Arabidopsis thaliana: one gene and its partners. The protein of the gene in region 3 interacts with the protein of the main gene of each other region in a pairwise test. Each region holds a gene or a part of one and is shown on either strand. Other genes may lie near its edges.

Region 1 (4,248 bases), on a different chromosome or scaffold from region 3:
TTGTCTTCTTATATTTACATCTAAGTTTATGTTTGATTATCTGAAACCCAAATTATCAAGTATTTTACGATTTTTTGAAATAAACGAAATCTGTTTATTTCCTTATTCAAATTTTATAAAATTTTGTAAGAGTGATTTGATTGAAAATGGACAACATTTGGAGACATTTTCAAAAAAAAATGTTATAAAAGGTTATTTTAAAATGCTTTCAAAAATATCAATATAATAAAGAGCGTGATTATATTTTAATTCAGAATTATTTAAGTGATCGAAAATATCATAAATTTTGTATAATTAGAGCATTTGTTCTGATATGCGACATATTTTACTATAATTTTATAGGAACCATATAAATTTAATTTTTTAACTAATTCCAGTTGCACATTTGTTTAGATGAAAATGATTTGATTGCTGCATGATATAATTTATTTACATTTAAGCATATATTTTATTCTATTTTGATGAATTGTGTGGTATTTTCGTACTTAAATTTTGATATATTGTATGTAATTGTACAACATACTCAATCATATGTTATTACTTCTAATAATTTGAATATGGACATACTCAGAAAGGTATCAAGGGCTCTTTCTCTAGCTATTGTTTCTCATATAATCTTTTCAAAATCATATATCATCACCAACTATACTCATCATTCTCGGGTACTATGAGCTCTAACTAGTGGAATGGTACTAGAACTTTGACACACCGTCTAGTTGAGATTATAGAAATTAAAGATTATGTTATATATAGTAGAAACAAAGTAGGCCAAATTCTTATAGAAAAGAATAAACAAAATTAATATAAAAGATAAATGAAAAAACGGTCTTGAATTATAAACAATTTGCTAGGTGTGATTCAACATTGTCTTTATTCAATACTTGTTGGGTCATAAACATTCAAATTGCATATTATTGTTACTCTAGTATTCAAATTGCATATTATGTTTTATCTAAACTAACTTATATATTTATTTTGATAAACATGTCATATGATATTAAACTTATTTTCAATTGATCATCTTCTAAGTTGATGCATTTTAGTATTTTATATTCAAATTTTGAGATCTTAGTATGTAATATATTTTCAGGTTTTTACTATTCATCAGTTTGATGATGCAAATATACATAGTACGAATAAAATGAGTGAAATTGTTTAATTATATGATCAGGAAGAAAAAATAATATTCCAAAATCCAAATTTTAGTGGGTAATTCTTAGCACAAAAACAAATTTTGTTTCCAAATATATCACATATTTTTCAATGTTCCACAAATAGCATTAATTGTTGAAATTTGTTATGAATAAGAATATGTTCTATAACATTATATGAATTAGAATTATCAATAGATAAAGTGTGTCAACTCAAATCGCTAAATTGTTGAAAACAATTTAATAATATATTCATTTAATATATTCTCATGTCAATATGATATGATTAGATCTATTTAGTGAGATCTTATTTAATTGTTAATTCTAATAAAACAAAAATAGTGATTATATTACTAATAAATAATATAATTGTTTAATCTTATTTTATGGAACTGTATTTCTCAACTTCAATTAAATACTGTACCTAAACCTAAAATTAAATATGCAATCAACTTGATTAATAAAAAACAACAAAATGGGGTAAGAAGTAAACAACGTTGTTAAACAAGACACGCGCTCACCAGTCGCGAGTTTGGCAATAATCATGAAATGAGCTTCTTTAAAAAAACTTTCTAGTAGATAAATTAAACAATTAAAAATCTCCGACAAGATTTAACAAAGAACAGATAATATCTTCTCCGCAAAGACAAAAGTGAAAGCGAAGAAGAAATCCTCCACGTGTCATTAGCATCTTTTAACCTGAGCCACATGATACTAGTTTCTCGAAACCCCTCTTTACGCTTTTTCACCCAAATTTTTATAAAAAGAAAAACATTATGCTTACGTGGCTTATCTTCTTCTTGCTCTTTTAAAGTAACCCCTTGACTCTGCTCCTTTCATAAACAACAACTCTCTCACCAATCTCAAAACAATTCTCTCTCTCTTTATTCTTCTTCTTCAGCTTCAGATTTCAGATCTTAAATCTTCAAGTCTTCTTCTTCTTCTTCTGCAACCATGGCTATGCAGGTTTGAGATCTATCTTCTTTGTTATTCTTTATGCAATCTTGATCTTGGTTTTGTTACTGTTGTTATGTTTCAAGTCTTGTGGAATCCAGACAGATTTAACCTAAACTTAGGTTTATGTCCGAGAGAAAATAGGTTATTTTGTTATCTAATTTCAAGTTTAATCTCTTTGTCTGAGAGAACTTGGAACTGAAGATTATTCGATTGTGGCAGGTTAAAAATTGTGTTAATAGACCAGGCGATTATGTGGGATATTATGGTCGGTTGTTTTAAAGAGAGATTACTTCTTTCTTAATGTATTGATCCGTATTAGGTAAGAACATGTCTCTAATCCCCTAATTATTACTGGTGGTCTACCTCTTCTAGTTGCGTATTAATTAGTTTTATTAGACTCTTTGTAACATTTAATTACTCTTACAATATATTAAGAGACTAATTGTGTTTTCTTACTTTGTGATTATAGGAACGTTGTGAGAGTTTATGTTCTGATGAACTTATATCTTCCTCAGATGCCTTTTACCTCAAGGTACTAATTTTGTTTCTTAATCTCTTGTTTACTCTTGATTGGTTTTGAACTTAAATATGAGGTTAATTTAGGGTTTGTTTTGTTTATAGACAAGAAAGCCTTATACCATCACTAAACAAAGAGAGAAATGGACAGAAGCAGAGCATGAGAAGTTTGTAGAAGCATTGAAACTCTATGGCAGAGCTTGGAGACGAATCGAAGGTGTGTGTGCTTATCTGACTTTAGAGAGTCTAATGCACATTCTAATCTAAGTTTGATGAAGATATAAGAAAACTACTTGGACCCTAGTAATGAGTAGAGATCTGACTTTTGTTGGTTCTTCTATGGAACAGAACATGTTGGAACAAAAACTGCAGTTCAGATTCGAAGCCATGCGCAGAAGTTCTTTACTAAGGTTTGCCTTCTTGCAGACCCTTATACATGAAAAAGTTTCAACCTCTTCGTGTTAAGCAAGGTCTAATTCAAGTTTTTCTTATTAGGTTGCTCGCGATTTTGGTGTTAGCTCTGAGTCCATTGAGATCCCGCCTCCAAGGCCAAAGAGAAAGCCGATGCATCCTTACCCTAGAAAGCTTGTGATTCCTGATGCAAAAGAGATGGTATACGCTGAACTAACCGGATCCAAGCTGATTCAGGATGAAGATAACCGATCTCCAACATCGGTTTTATCAGCTCATGGCTCAGATGGATTAGGTTCCATTGGTTCAAATTCACCTAACTCTTCTTCAGCTGAGTTATCATCTCACACAGAGGAATCATTGTCTCTAGAAGCAGAGACCAAACAGAGCCTTAAGCTCTTTGGAAAAACTTTTGTAGTTGGTGATTACAACTCTTCAATGAGTTGTGATGATTCTGAAGATGGCAAGAAGAAGCTATACTCAGAAACACAGTCTCTTCAATGTTCTTCTTCTACTTCAGAAAACGCTGAAACAGAAGTGGTAGTGTCGGAGTTCAAAAGAAGTGAGAGATCAGCTTTCTCTCAGTTAAAATCGTCGGTGACTGAGATGAACAACATGAGAGGGTTCATGCCTTACAAAAAGAGAGTAAAGGTGGAAGAAAACATTGACAATGTAAAATTATCATATCCTTTGTGGTGAAGTGTTCGTTTGTGTCAAGTCAGTTGTGTAAACTCTTTTGATCTCAACATCAGATTATGTGTATAATGTCAGAGTATTAGGGAAAGTTTTTTTGGATTAGATTCGTAAGATCACTCCAAAGTTTCGTGTCTTTCCATATAACCAGTTAGAAATTGAGATCCTTGTACTTAAACATTTTTATTTGATCAATCAAATCTTCTTGATAACTCTAAATTGTTGTACATAATAGTAGTCTCTATCAAGCATTTCATTCGAAAGGATTAACAAAAAAGATTAGGTTTACAAAAAATACATCAAAAGCAAATGTTTGAAACATAGAAACAAGTAATGCATCATAAACCCTAAGACTAGCTTCAAGTCTCTGTGACGGTTTCACTCTGTTTCAAGATCTTCCTCGTACGGTACTCGTCGACACAAAGGACACGACCTCTGACGCTTAAGCCACTCAAAGATACAATTTTGATGGAACAAATGGAAACAGTCAGGTAACAGAATGATGTTATCATCATGACTC
Region 2 (3,939 bases), on a different chromosome or scaffold from region 3:
AAGAGCTACATATATCTGCGTATGTATAGAAACAGCTAGCTAGCATGCAATGTAGCGGGAAAGCGAGTGCATGGACTTCAGTGAGTGTGTCTCATATAATGCCATTTCAACTTTTAACCTAAAAAGCAAAACTCTCTCTTTGTTTCAACCAAAATACAAAACAACCACTTGCGAGAGTCAATAAAGCATCAGACAAACAACTAACCACATACACACCACAGCTTACATATATTGATGTCTTTGTACACATTCCATTGGAAATATCAAATTCTTGAAAAGATTCTTCTTGTTATCATCTCATAAACTTATTTAGTATATATTTATCAAAAATAAAAAATTAATATAAATATTATTGAGTCACCTGTTTTACTAAGAGTTTTAATATAAGTATATAACAGTACAAAAAGTTTTAGATTTCAATGTTTGTTTATATAGAAATATACTAGGTCTACCCCCTTTTCAACGGGAAATGCTATTATTATTTCCTTTTAACTTCTTGCTCTTGTACGTACGTAGGAATTAAGACAGAGATATTATTTTAACAACATCAAATGTGTCTTTATTCAGAAATTTCTCTAAATGAAACATTCCTACATACCAACGATCTAGAGAAATACTTAGATGGCCAAATCAGAAGAGAGTACAACTGATCACTAGTGAATTTGTCAAGAATAAACGCGAAAAAAAGATGAGCTAAACTGAGCATTCATAATTAAGATTACATCGCAAAAATAATCTACATAGGATACATCAAACTCGCAGATTAATAAGGGAATTCTTAAGTAGATTTTGTAGTTTTAGAGACTTATTCCTATTTTTATTTTTATTTTGAATTTCTAGATACCAATTGATTCCTCTGAACCTAAACCAGATCTACATAAGAATTCCACAATTTTCTGCCTCACCTTCATGACTTCATCTCCCTTCAGGATGGAGAGGAAAAAGCTCGAGGGTTACATTGTCAATGATTTTATTAAAAGTAGTTGCCATAGTACTACTATTTTTGTTTCTCCTGTTCTCTATCTCCAAGTTCTCAAATCCCCAGCTCCTACATGTCCTCTTGTACTCATTCTCTTCCACTAACTCCTCCTTCTCCACCATTGGTTCTCTCTACACAATCATAAAAATTATCCTTAAATATAGTTGATCAAAACCACAAAACTATACAAAATCCTTAAATTCCTACCATAATGTCTAGTGACGATGATGTTCTTGTCTTCATAGTTACACTCGGATTAAAGACACCAGTGGTCGTGAAGCTGCTTTGGCAACTTAGGCTGATGAGGTTGTTCCTCTTCTGCTTCTGTCTCTCGCGGGCTTTGTGGTTCTGGAACCAATAGAACACATTTTTCCCTTCGATTTTCCCGTACTTACCGAGTTGCAATGTGATATGCTCAATCTGTTGAGCATTAGGAGTACGCATTCCACCTTTGTACAACATCTCAAGTATCCCTATCTGTTCTTGAGTCGGGTTCCACCTTGTCCCTCCCGGGTGCGTCTCCAACTGAACCCACACATTATTTCATTACATTTGTTAGGAATCATACATTAAAATAAATAAATAAAATTAATAATAAAAGGAACCACTCCAGTCGTTATAATTTATAAATGTCAAAGTATTAGGTATGCCGCAATTATCAAAATTCTTCTAGAGTGAATTCTTCTTCTTTTTTCAAACGAAAGAAACGATGTAAAATGTACGAAGTACAATAATGGAACTGACTTGATGAGGAGGGTCTCGTTTGTGTTCAAATTTTGTCGGACCGGTTTGATCGGGTCTAATGAAGTTTTTAAGGTCAAAAGTGGCTGAAGTGACGCCGGAGGAAGAAGAAGGAGGGGAGGGAGGGCTGCCGGAGAGCTTAGGGGCGAGAGGACGGAGGCGTTTGCAGCTTAGGCTAAGGGATGATGTCGAGTCATGTTGATCCCACGATGAAGAAAACCCATTCGAAAACTCATGAACCTTCATTGCTATATGTTAAAACTAGCAAATGCTATGCATGCCTTTCTCGTTACAAGACTTAAGCTATGTATATATAGAGGAAGATAAGTGTGAAATGATAGTGTTAGTGTATAATGATATCATTGGTGATATCCAGTTGGGTAGGAAAAAGAAAAAGAATGGAAAATGAACAGATGATTTTTACAAAAGTGGGACGTCGGGAAACCAAAGACCAAATGATGGGATATGGTTGACTTTTATCATTTAAAATCTCCTTGTCCTTATTGTAAATATATACACTCAGAAATGTAAAAGCAATAGGTAAAGAACAAATTTGAAACTAATTGAAGACAGTGATCTTTGTTTGAGAAAGTGAAATCTCATTGTGTGAATATAGATATGCGTACGTGTGTCTCTACATACACGTAATACATGCGTACGTGTGATATCTGATATGTTCATGTCTGCATGGAGCACTACTTTAAATTCGGCATAGTAATGTATCAACCAAATTTTAGTTTCATGCTTACGCATGTCATGCGTGAATACCGCATAATTTATCTCTCTTATAAAATTTTCCTCTACTTGTAGTTGTAGTCTATAGTACTATGTCTTGAGATCCTATAATTTAGGCAGAATGTTGAGGGACATGAACCACGCTAAAAATAATATGTTATAGATACGTGATATCAAAAGACTTTACTATTCATTGAGATTGACATTGACCTACGAGCCAATAGGTTTGCTTTTACAGGAAAAAGGTTTGAATTTTTTTTTTTTGGGATCAAATTCTAACAAATGCATGTGATTTATTAGAAAAATCCCAAACCAAAGCTTGACAATCTTTCATTCTACTAGTTGTATAGGGACATAATTTCTCTCTCACCTTTCTTTATTTTAAGAAATTATTTTAGAAATAAAACACTGAAAAAAGTTAGCTTTAATGATAGGATGTCGAATGCTTTTCGGTGGCTCTCAAGTCTCAACTACTTTATTTAGAGAAAAGAAGAATGAGAAGAAGAATGAATAAGGGGAAAAGGTATCTTCCAATCCCAATACTCGAAATTGCTTTTATTACTTTTGTTAAGATACGGATTTTGCCTAAATTAGTGGTAGTTTATAATGAGCCAGGACAGACTTTTATGCGGAAAAGAAAAGGCTAGAAATATCTTAATGTTATATTATCATTGTTTATTTTGATAATAATACATCATTATAAATTTAAGCTTATATGTTTATTAGATATTGATACAAAAGCATGGTTTGGTTTGGCAATGTCAAGCGTCCCATTCACTTTAGATCAGTGTATTGTATTGTTATTCTCTTGTACATCGGGAACTGCAGAACCTCAATTTCCCAAGTAATTTGGGTATTTTACTAATGAAAAGTAGTAACGTATGATATTCCGGAATTACAAAGTTTTTTCTTCTAATTACTTTTGAGTTTTGACTAATATATCATCATCTTTTTATTTGATATGTAGTCTAGAATTACAAAGAACAGAGACCTTGAGTATGAACTGTGAAGAATAGTCAAAATTATTTAGTCTCGGCTAATCCAGTTATGATGCAAGTATATGTACAGTACGAAACTTACACTAATATATATGGATATCAAAGTTATGAAGGTGGAAAGTCACAGTTCATATCACTGGTTAAAACATAAAAATTGATATCATGGAGGAAATATAGAAGTACCAGTGTAGGTTGATCATGACTAATAGCTAAAATTAATAACATCTTTATCCTATGAAGATGGATTTTTTTATAGAAATTTCACATTTTTAAAAAATAATGTATACTGACAATTTTAACCTTTTAATATATTTTAAAAATAATAAAAAATATTTATCTACTTATTTACTTAGGATAAAACAGGTAAACAATTTTAAAATTTATATTAAAAATACAAAATTTGTATCTTTGTGGGACAATTTTTTTCCATAGAAAATTCATCTTTGTTGGACGGAAGGAATATGAAAGCTCAAAGTTCTAAAAAGA
Region 3 (5,069 bases):
CTCAAACTTATCACAATAGAGAAGTAACTTACTACTCCCAAGACATTTCGATTTATTAGAGCAGAACTTATCATTGGTTAAGGGAAAAAGCAAATAGCTTCACATCAGTTATAAAAAATATATTTGAAAATGATAAAGTTTCCACGTAATATATTACACAAATTACGCATATATGAACTTGTCTGTATACAATGTACGTTAACCCACTTATACATAGATCACAAGCCTAGTGATACCCGATACGTTTGTCGATCGCATTTAACTTAATAGGCTTGAAAGGTTTTGAATTGCCTGATTACTAGAACTGACGTCCAGGTCTCAGAAGGAATATAGATTGAGAATGTATTGAATCATGAATCTTAACTTATATAATTTTGTCATCAGTTTGTCACGTTTCCTTTTGTTTTTGTCATTTGTTGTATTCCTAAAAGCAAACGATAGACAAACTTAACAACACAGAGATAATATTAACAAACAACGTTTAAAGGATACATATCAGTTAAAAATCCACTCGAACTATGAAAACAAAATATTATACAAATTGCATTAATTTCTTCACATAGGTTTAATATTTGACACTAAAATGACGAAAAAGCCTTCATATAAACATGATTAATTACGATGTTAAGAAAAAAAAACATAAGATGGATTAACATATCTCTCTCACCAAACTATATATCATTAATTTGAGATATTAATGTTAAATGAAATCAGTTTCAATACATGTTTTGATAGTTGTGCATGAGGTCTCTTGGTTTCGCGCCGAAGGAGTAATGAAGATCCGTAAACTGATGCTGCTGCAAGGTACATAGCCCCAAAAAAAAAAAAATCGATGAAAATTTGAACAATAAAAACCATAATAGTATAACCAAGTCAGTTAAAAAAAACCGGCGCCTTTGAATCGCTGATGTGGAACTAGATAGTAATAACCAAGTACCAATCCACAAAACACAAAAACTAACTTCTAATTAAACTATATATAGCATTAATTAATCGATGGTGGTGCATTAGTGTCATTGAATTTGATATACCCTACCTCTAAAACTTGAATTAACTGTGTATAGCTTTAGATAAAACCATTGGAAAAAAACTCATAAAAATTATAAATGTGACTCGTAGATATAAATAAGGTACCTCAATGGAATTAGCTGCTCCTTGGCTGCGATGGTGGTTAATCACTGGGAATGATGAGTTCGGTTTGTAGTTGACTAAGTCATAAGATTCATTTGAAATGTGATCTTTCTTATTCATGATAAATTCGTTGCAAACTGCAAAACGATCGTTCTTGCAAAGTTCTTCGATCTTGTCTTCGCAGTGTGTCATCTCAAAAGAACTCCGATTCACTTGGCTTCTATTATTATTCTTTATTATCTCACCATGATCATGAGCGTCTTCTTCCACAACTTTCACTAATTGTGATCTTCCTTTCATCTTCATCATCATTTTCTCCATTGTTCTACCCTTTGCTCTTTCTCTAGCTTTCGCTCTCTCCTCCTTGGACAACTTCTTTAAAATGGGCGTTCGCGGTTCTGGCCTCTTTCTCTTCCCTCTCATCGATCTCCCATCGACCTTGTTTCCTCTTGTTTCTAATGTATAAGATAATTTATCTTTTGTAACATTTTGATAGAAAGTACTCTATATATAATTGTAAATCAGAAAGGCAACGGTTAAGGTCGTACCGGTCGTGTTAGTATTGCTGCCTCTATCGTCGACCGTCCACATGGATGCAAGTTCACATAGATCAGAAGATGTGTCCATGGATCCTAACACCGGTCCTTAATTAATTAGGAAATTTACAATTTTCAGATTATGATATAAAAAAATTCATAGAAGTTGAAAACTTGAATAGACTTAAAACTAGAAAAGAATGGATACTTACGGATATGAGACTCATCGCCGCTGCTGAAGCAGCCATGGTGAGAAAGGGTTGTCGCGATCTTTATGATCTCAGGTTTTGCTTGTGTAAGCAACCATTCAACGGTTTTGCTGGCTTTGTCAAATCCAAGCATGTCTTGTAAGCCAAACAACTCTTTGGCGACATCTAGCGAGAGTCTCATCCTACGATCTCGTGTCCCTTTGGCCGTTTTGATCTTGCTGTGCCTGTCCGTTCTGCTGGGTTTCTTGGCTTTTTTCATTTTTGGGTCTTGAGAAGTTGAGATTCTCTGGGAATCTTCTATAAGGTTTATAGTTTCCGAGGGCTCAGTGGGTTGTTCTACAATGGTGTTGTTCAAGGGAAAGTGAAGTGATGGATGATGATTGTCGTTTGGGATGGTTTGGTTATCATCATGGCCATTGTTTTCTGGGTGGAAAGAGGTGAGGAGGGCGCAGTCCGGGGCAAATTCGAAGTGAGAAAAAGGAGAAGGTTGTTGGAATTGATGATGATGGTCAAGATGATTGTTTGATGTGTTAGAGGTGGAGTGAATCAAGATGTCGTTAATGGAAGAAGAAGGGCTAAAAGGGAGCAATGGTTGTGAGGAATAATGGTCATTATAAGGGAATAACATGTAGTCGTCATTGATGGTGGTAGTAGTACTGAAAATGTTGTTGTTCATGCCTTTTTAGGGGTTTTTGAAGTAACAAAATTAAAAAACCCTAAGACAAAATTTTGAGAATGACACTTGTACTATAATCTTCTTCAGACACACAAGAAAAAAGAGAAGAAAATGAAAGAAAGTTTGAATCAAAGAGAAAGGTTACTGTTCCAATGACGAAGACATTGATCTCAAGTCTCAACCAAAATGAAAACAAGAAAATTAGAAAGAGAGATTTCTTTTTTTCCTTAGCCTGCAAAATCAAGAAAAAAAAAGAGCAGTAATAGTGATTAGTCAGATAGTACAATATGTCTTTGTTCTAGAGAATCTATGTGTGTGTCTAAATGTGTAGAGAGAGAATACCTTTATCGAAGCAAAGGACTAATGGTTGAGAAAGACAACACAGGCGACGTACTTAAATGAGTCTATGTGCTATGAACTAGAATGGAGAGAAAGAGAGAGAAAAAGAGAGAGAGAGGGAGAGCTATATGGAGAGAGAGGCAAAGAGATCATTATGGGGGAAGGAACAACATATAAGCCTTTGAAAAAGCATTTATTTTGTTTATATATTTTTCTTAATTCCTAGCTTCGGCATGATAAAAATATATTCGTTTTTGTTTTTTGTGAAAATGTGATAATAGATGTTCGTTTTATTTGATTATCAAGATTTTTTTCTATAATTAGGACCTTGTGTTTGTTTATGTTCTTATATTTCTTTGAGATAGTTCATTACTAATATGTAGATAAGAACTCAGTATAATTATTTGATAGATATTAAATTGTTGACAGCTATATTTCAACTAATCAAAGATTGTATATATCTTTAAAATTAATAGCATGCACTAAAAGATGCCTAAAAATAGTTAATTCAATATAAAATATTTCACTGTATTTACTATAGAATATATGTTATAACTTTAGGATTTAGCTAGAATAATTAATATTACAGTTTCTTGACAGAACATATATTTACCAATTACATTAACATTTCACTTTAAATAAACAGATCTTTATTTAAATTATTGAAATGACATTTAAAATTTAGTTAGATAGATTTTTCCACATTGATTATATTTTTTAATATTTTTAGTAGATAAAGATCAAGGTATAACTAAATGAAAGAAATAAAAGGTAATGAGATTTAATTTCACCCAAAAATAGACATATAAATGTATGTTTGCATATTAAGAAGATCAAAATAAAAAGTTGAATAGAAATAAATATGAGATAAAATTAAGGATAAATTTTATTATTAGTTATGCCTTTATTTGGAAAAGGATTAATAGAAGAAAAGTTAGAAGATTTTAGATTATGTCTAAAGGAAATAGGAACAAGGAATATATAATTAAAATATATATAAAATATTGATTTGCATTTCACCGTAAGAAAGAACTAAGGTCAAATAAAATTATAAAGTTTTGTTTGGTGGTATTTTTCAAAACACTATAAACAACTTTTTCATATTTTTAAAGAGTATTTTGGTGTAATTCTTATGACTTCATATGTACACTAACTATTGATATATTGCATTTGTTCAGATAACAATTTTTGTATCTCTATCTAATAATTTTTATACATAGGACACAAATATTGTTATTCCAAAACTTCTATCCATTCTTAAGTCCAAATCTTTTATTTGTTGTTTCATAAATAAAAAACTTATACTAGATCAAAAAAAATATTTGACAAAAAAATCTTATATTAGATAATCTATCGAACTGAATGGGTTGTAAAAACTGAATCATCAATCATGGCGATCCCTCAAGAAAACCATACAGATCAGTAATATTTTTTAATTCCATTTTCTTGTGCCAACTTTTAGGTTTAAATACATTTATTTATTGTTGTAAAATATTATTAATTGTATTTTAAAGTATAAAATATGAATTCTTATATTATAATATATATATATATATATATATTATTGAGAATATCAAATAAATTTAAACACTGTTATAACAATTTATATCCATCATGGATGTTTCTCAAAATTAAGTATAGACATAGATGATTGTTCTAAATTGATTGTTATGCAACATCCTCTTCTGTAAATTATTAGTAAAAAAGGGTAGCTCCTTTTTCTTACGTAGACTTATTGGAATCCAATTGAGTTCAAATAGCAAAACTGACGAACGCATTGGACGAATTTCTCTTCTCTTCTTTTACCAAAAAAAAAAAAAAGAATTTCTCTTCTTTTTTTTTATGTAAAGAAACAAAAAACATCTCTTTGTTTTCATATTTGTGATACAAAACTTGAAAACAAGATCAAAACTCGGATTGGAATTTTTGGTCTCATATCACAAAATCCTTCTTCCTAGCTCTAAGACATTGATTTTCATGATATGGAGAAAATAATCTTTTTGCTATAGGAGAGTTAAAATACAAAGTTTCATTTTCAAATTGGAGGAATGCACGTGGCTGTGTGAAGCCCTAAGAAAAGAAGGCTGCAATAATTTTAGGAAGAAAAGAAAAAAGCTTTGCCTCTCTGTTCAGTATTGCATGACCGACCAATCTTTTATTTTCTTTTGACTCTCTCTC
Region 4 (3,158 bases), on a different chromosome or scaffold from region 3:
AGCCAAATCTTGCAAAACCTCAGTCCATGCACTACCAATACAAGGTACTAAAATAAAATAAAATACAAGGTACTAAAATACTACAGATAAAAGCTCTTCTTTGCTTGACATAATTAGATTTACGAGAGTTTCACACACAAGTACACAACCATGTAAGGTCTTAATTGTTTTTGTTTGCGTTAGATTTACGTATTTGCTTTTCATATTCTTATTATTTTAATCACAATCTTAATTCTTTTCTTAATAATTTTTCAACATAAAAATGCAAATGGAAATGGAAGAAAATAAACCGTTTACGGCTGGTGTATATTTTTTTCAAAGACACTACTTAAGCCAATTTAGAAAGAACAAAATTGGTCATTATAAACGTAAAATTTTAAAGAGAAAAAGAAGAAAGTCTACTGTTAGTAATTGATGCTTGTATTTACATTTTGCAAAAATATTTATGCATGTAATTTTTTTTAAAATTATACTTCAGCAATGTGAATTTTTATCGTTTGTTATGCAAACAATTGTGAAACAATTTCTTACTTCTATTCACGGGCAACACAAGTTTGAAGAACTCTGCTTTAACAATTACTAATTTAGAGTCTTAATTAAATCTTAAGCTGAGACAGATCTCTGGATATACATTTGTTGATACATACTAGAGCCCCAAAAAAATAAAAATAAAAATCATCTATACAACGTCGTCGTCGTCTCTGATGCAAGAGAAAGGACTCTGATTCTGAAGCTGCATATCACTAATCATTTGCTTAAGCTCAGTGGTTTCCTCTTTGAGCTGAACATTCTCTTCAATAACCTTCTCTTGAGACTCTAAAACGCAGTTAAGCTTACGAAGCAGCTGATGATTCTCATCCCTAAGCCACATCACCTGTGACCAAAGCTCATCCACTTGTCTCTGCTTCCTCATACGCGATCTTCTTGCCGATTCTCTGTTAGATATCTTCCTCTTTTGCTTCCTCTCATTTATTATCTCCTTATGATTCTCTTCTGCTTCATCTGAGGTCGAGTTGTTGCTGCTGATCAAACTCATGAACTGTGAAGTGTTCACGCCAGTTTCGAAGCTGAAGAATGGATTAGGGTTTTGTCCGCAAAATGGTGAGGATGTAGGAATATGGGAAAGGTACGAAGGTGGACAACCATGGAGGCTAAAAATGTTGGTGGATGGTTGCATTATCGGTGGAGACTTGGGACGCAAGGTAGGGTTTACTCTTAGGTGATGGAAGAAAAGAAAGATTGTAGGATTTAGGGAATTGTGATGAATGTTTGGTGTGTGTGGTGAGAAGAGGTGTTCATATAGACTAGTAGGGGGACAATTGTGGACCATGGTTTCTTCATTTGGGTCAAACCAATATAAAAGCATCTAACAATCATGCAGCTAAAACGTGTATTTATATAACTTTATTTATTATTTAAAAACACGATCTATTTTTTCACCTATAAAATTATTGAACTACTTAGAACGAAATCTAAATAACTTATTTTTTAAAGCCTGTCTAAGATTTATTAGAAGTTGGTTGAAGTCTTAGGGTGAAAAATGGCTTTGTAAATGAATGATTGGGATTAATTGAGTTTTTCTTTTCTTTCAATGGCTAGGAAACAAATTGTTTTTTTTTTGTTGTGTGGAAATTTCAAATATCTTTCAACTTATTTTTTAAAACCTATCTAAAATTTATGAGAACTTGGTTGAATTTTTGGGGTGGAAAATGGTTGTGTGTAAATGAATGACTGGGAATAATTGAGATTTTTCTTTCTCTCAATGGCTAGGAAACAAATTTGTGTTTTTTTTTTTGGAAATTTAAAATAACTTTCAACTTATTTTTCTGCAAAATAGTAGATAAATAAATTGAACAAACTACTTTTATAATTTGGTCAATTTTTTTCAATTTTGAGTTGAATGAATTAAATCATTTTTTAATAATTTATTCATCTTAAATAGTAAACGTTTGGAGAAATTTCAAAATGTCCATTTTCTAATACCGTACCACCACTTTTTGAAAATGACTTCTATCTAAAATCTTTTAAATATTTTATTATATTAAGCTTGGTTTAATATATATACATGTAAAATTACACATTTAGAAAAAAGTAATTAAAGCATATAATATTTTATAGAAGTGTCGGATTGACACATATAGCAATCATGCGTAATTCTTCATTTTCGTCGTATTTTGCTAAAAGTTCGACCTATGTAATTAGATTCTGTTAGGGGAAGGGTGGTGATTTTGAAATTTAACCTTTTGAAACCCAAGAAACATATGGGCTTTTATAACCATCCAAATTTATATTATCTTTAATTTTTTTTTAGTGTTGTTAGAAAAAAAAAAAAATATTACGTGATGGACTTAATTAGTACTAGAGGAAAGCATCTCATCAAGAAGAACAGAAGAAGCATAAACAGACCTATGAATGAGACCTTGAAAAGGTTGAGAGAAAACAAATTTAAGAAGCTAAGTGTCCAATTCTTTTGCATATTTGATGTGTTCGTTTAGTTTTAATAAAGCATAAATCTTTGTTCATAAGATCTCAACAGAAAATGAACTACAAATCTCTAATCAATCTACAGTGGTATTCATATCACATGACTTTCTTGTTTTAACATCAATTCTGACAATTCAACTATTCAATCATTGACCACATCGGTTTCTTAACAATCAAGTTATTGGATATAGAGAGCCCTCTTCACCTAGGTAAAACCTCATAGGCCTTTTGATAACCATACAAAAAAATATTAGTTTGCTCTCACTCTACGCCAACAGGGTGATAAAGCTCACACGTAAGTAACCTGTAAATGACAAGTAACACTCTTAACCAAAATAGCTTGACTCGTTGGCTTGGCTTTCAAGATAAGATCCTCACTCTGAGTTACCTAGTAAATCGTACTTGTTCTGCAGGAGGATTGCCTGCTTGTTCTTTACATGTCGACGTTGTTGTGGTTTTGACTTGAGTTGCTTCGAATCGTCAATACTAAGATCCTCTATATAGTCAAAGGCAAAAACATTGCGAAAATATTGTCGTTTCTAATCCGATTGACCTTAATCTTCGGCAAGGAGTAGATATACTGTGACCATTCCTGTTTCTCAACATCCTCTAGAACCCACACACACAACTCACGGGGATGTCCATCACCAGCATCACACTCCAATTTAGTCACA

Evidence for each region.
Region 1: the proteins of BRC1 (region 3) and RVE2 interact in binary tests that used the Arabidopsis thaliana proteins (3 or more experiments, as listed by UniProt).
Region 2: the proteins of BRC1 (region 3) and WOX4 interact in binary tests that used the Arabidopsis thaliana proteins (3 or more experiments, as listed by UniProt).
Region 4: the proteins of BRC1 (region 3) and bZIP43 interact in binary tests that used the Arabidopsis thaliana proteins (3 or more experiments, as listed by UniProt).

Annotation. Positions count from the first base shown.
Region 1 is NC_003076.8:14,750,830-14,755,077, reverse strand, and holds RVE2 (Homeodomain-like superfamily protein), read left to right. Parts: upstream 1-1,989; 5' UTR 1,990-2,105; coding exon 2,106-2,117; intron 2,118-2,577; coding exon 2,578-2,640; intron 2,641-2,729; coding exon 2,730-2,841; intron 2,842-2,972; coding exon 2,973-3,034; intron 3,035-3,119; coding exon 3,120-3,734; downstream 3,735-4,248. Other genes in the region: AT5G37250 (RING/U-box superfamily protein), read right to left, coding at 4,107-4,248. UniProt on the Arabidopsis thaliana protein: Positive regulator for cold-responsive gene expression and cold tolerance. Part of a regulatory feedback loop that controls a subset of the circadian outputs and modulates the central oscillator. Negatively self-regulates its own expression.
Region 2 is NC_003070.9:17,235,988-17,239,926, forward strand, and holds WOX4 (WUSCHEL related homeobox 4), read right to left. Parts: upstream 2,199-3,939; 5' UTR 1,967-2,198; coding exon 1,724-1,966; intron 1,505-1,723; coding exon 1,187-1,504; coding exon of another isoform or gene 1,175-1,186; exon of another isoform or gene 1,111-1,174; coding exon 916-1,110; 3' UTR 537-915; downstream 1-536. UniProt on the Arabidopsis thaliana protein: Promotes differentiation and/or maintenance of the vascular procambium, the initial cells of the developing vasculature.
Region 3 is NC_003074.8:6,381,252-6,386,320, reverse strand, and holds BRC1 (TCP family transcription factor), read right to left. Parts: upstream 3,033-5,069; 5' UTR 2,895-3,032; intron 2,814-2,894; exon of another isoform or gene 2,785-2,813; 5' UTR 2,553-2,784; coding exon 1,880-2,552; intron 1,776-1,879; coding exon 1,680-1,775; intron 1,587-1,679; coding exon 1,051-1,586; 3' UTR 798-1,050; coding exon of another isoform or gene 717-797; 3' UTR 506-716; downstream 1-505. UniProt on the Arabidopsis thaliana protein: Transcription factor that prevents axillary bud outgrowth and delays early axillary bud development. Indirectly required for the auxin-induced control of apical dominance.
Region 4 is NC_003076.8:15,537,626-15,540,783, forward strand, and holds bZIP43 (basic leucine-zipper 43), read right to left. Parts: upstream 1,265-3,158; 5' UTR 1,178-1,264; coding exon 680-1,177; 3' UTR 516-679; downstream 1-515. Other genes in the region: AT5G38810 (F-box and associated interaction domains-containing protein), read right to left, coding at 2,981-3,158. UniProt on the Arabidopsis thaliana protein: Probable transcription factor involved in somatic embryogenesis. Acts as a positive regulator of BHLH109.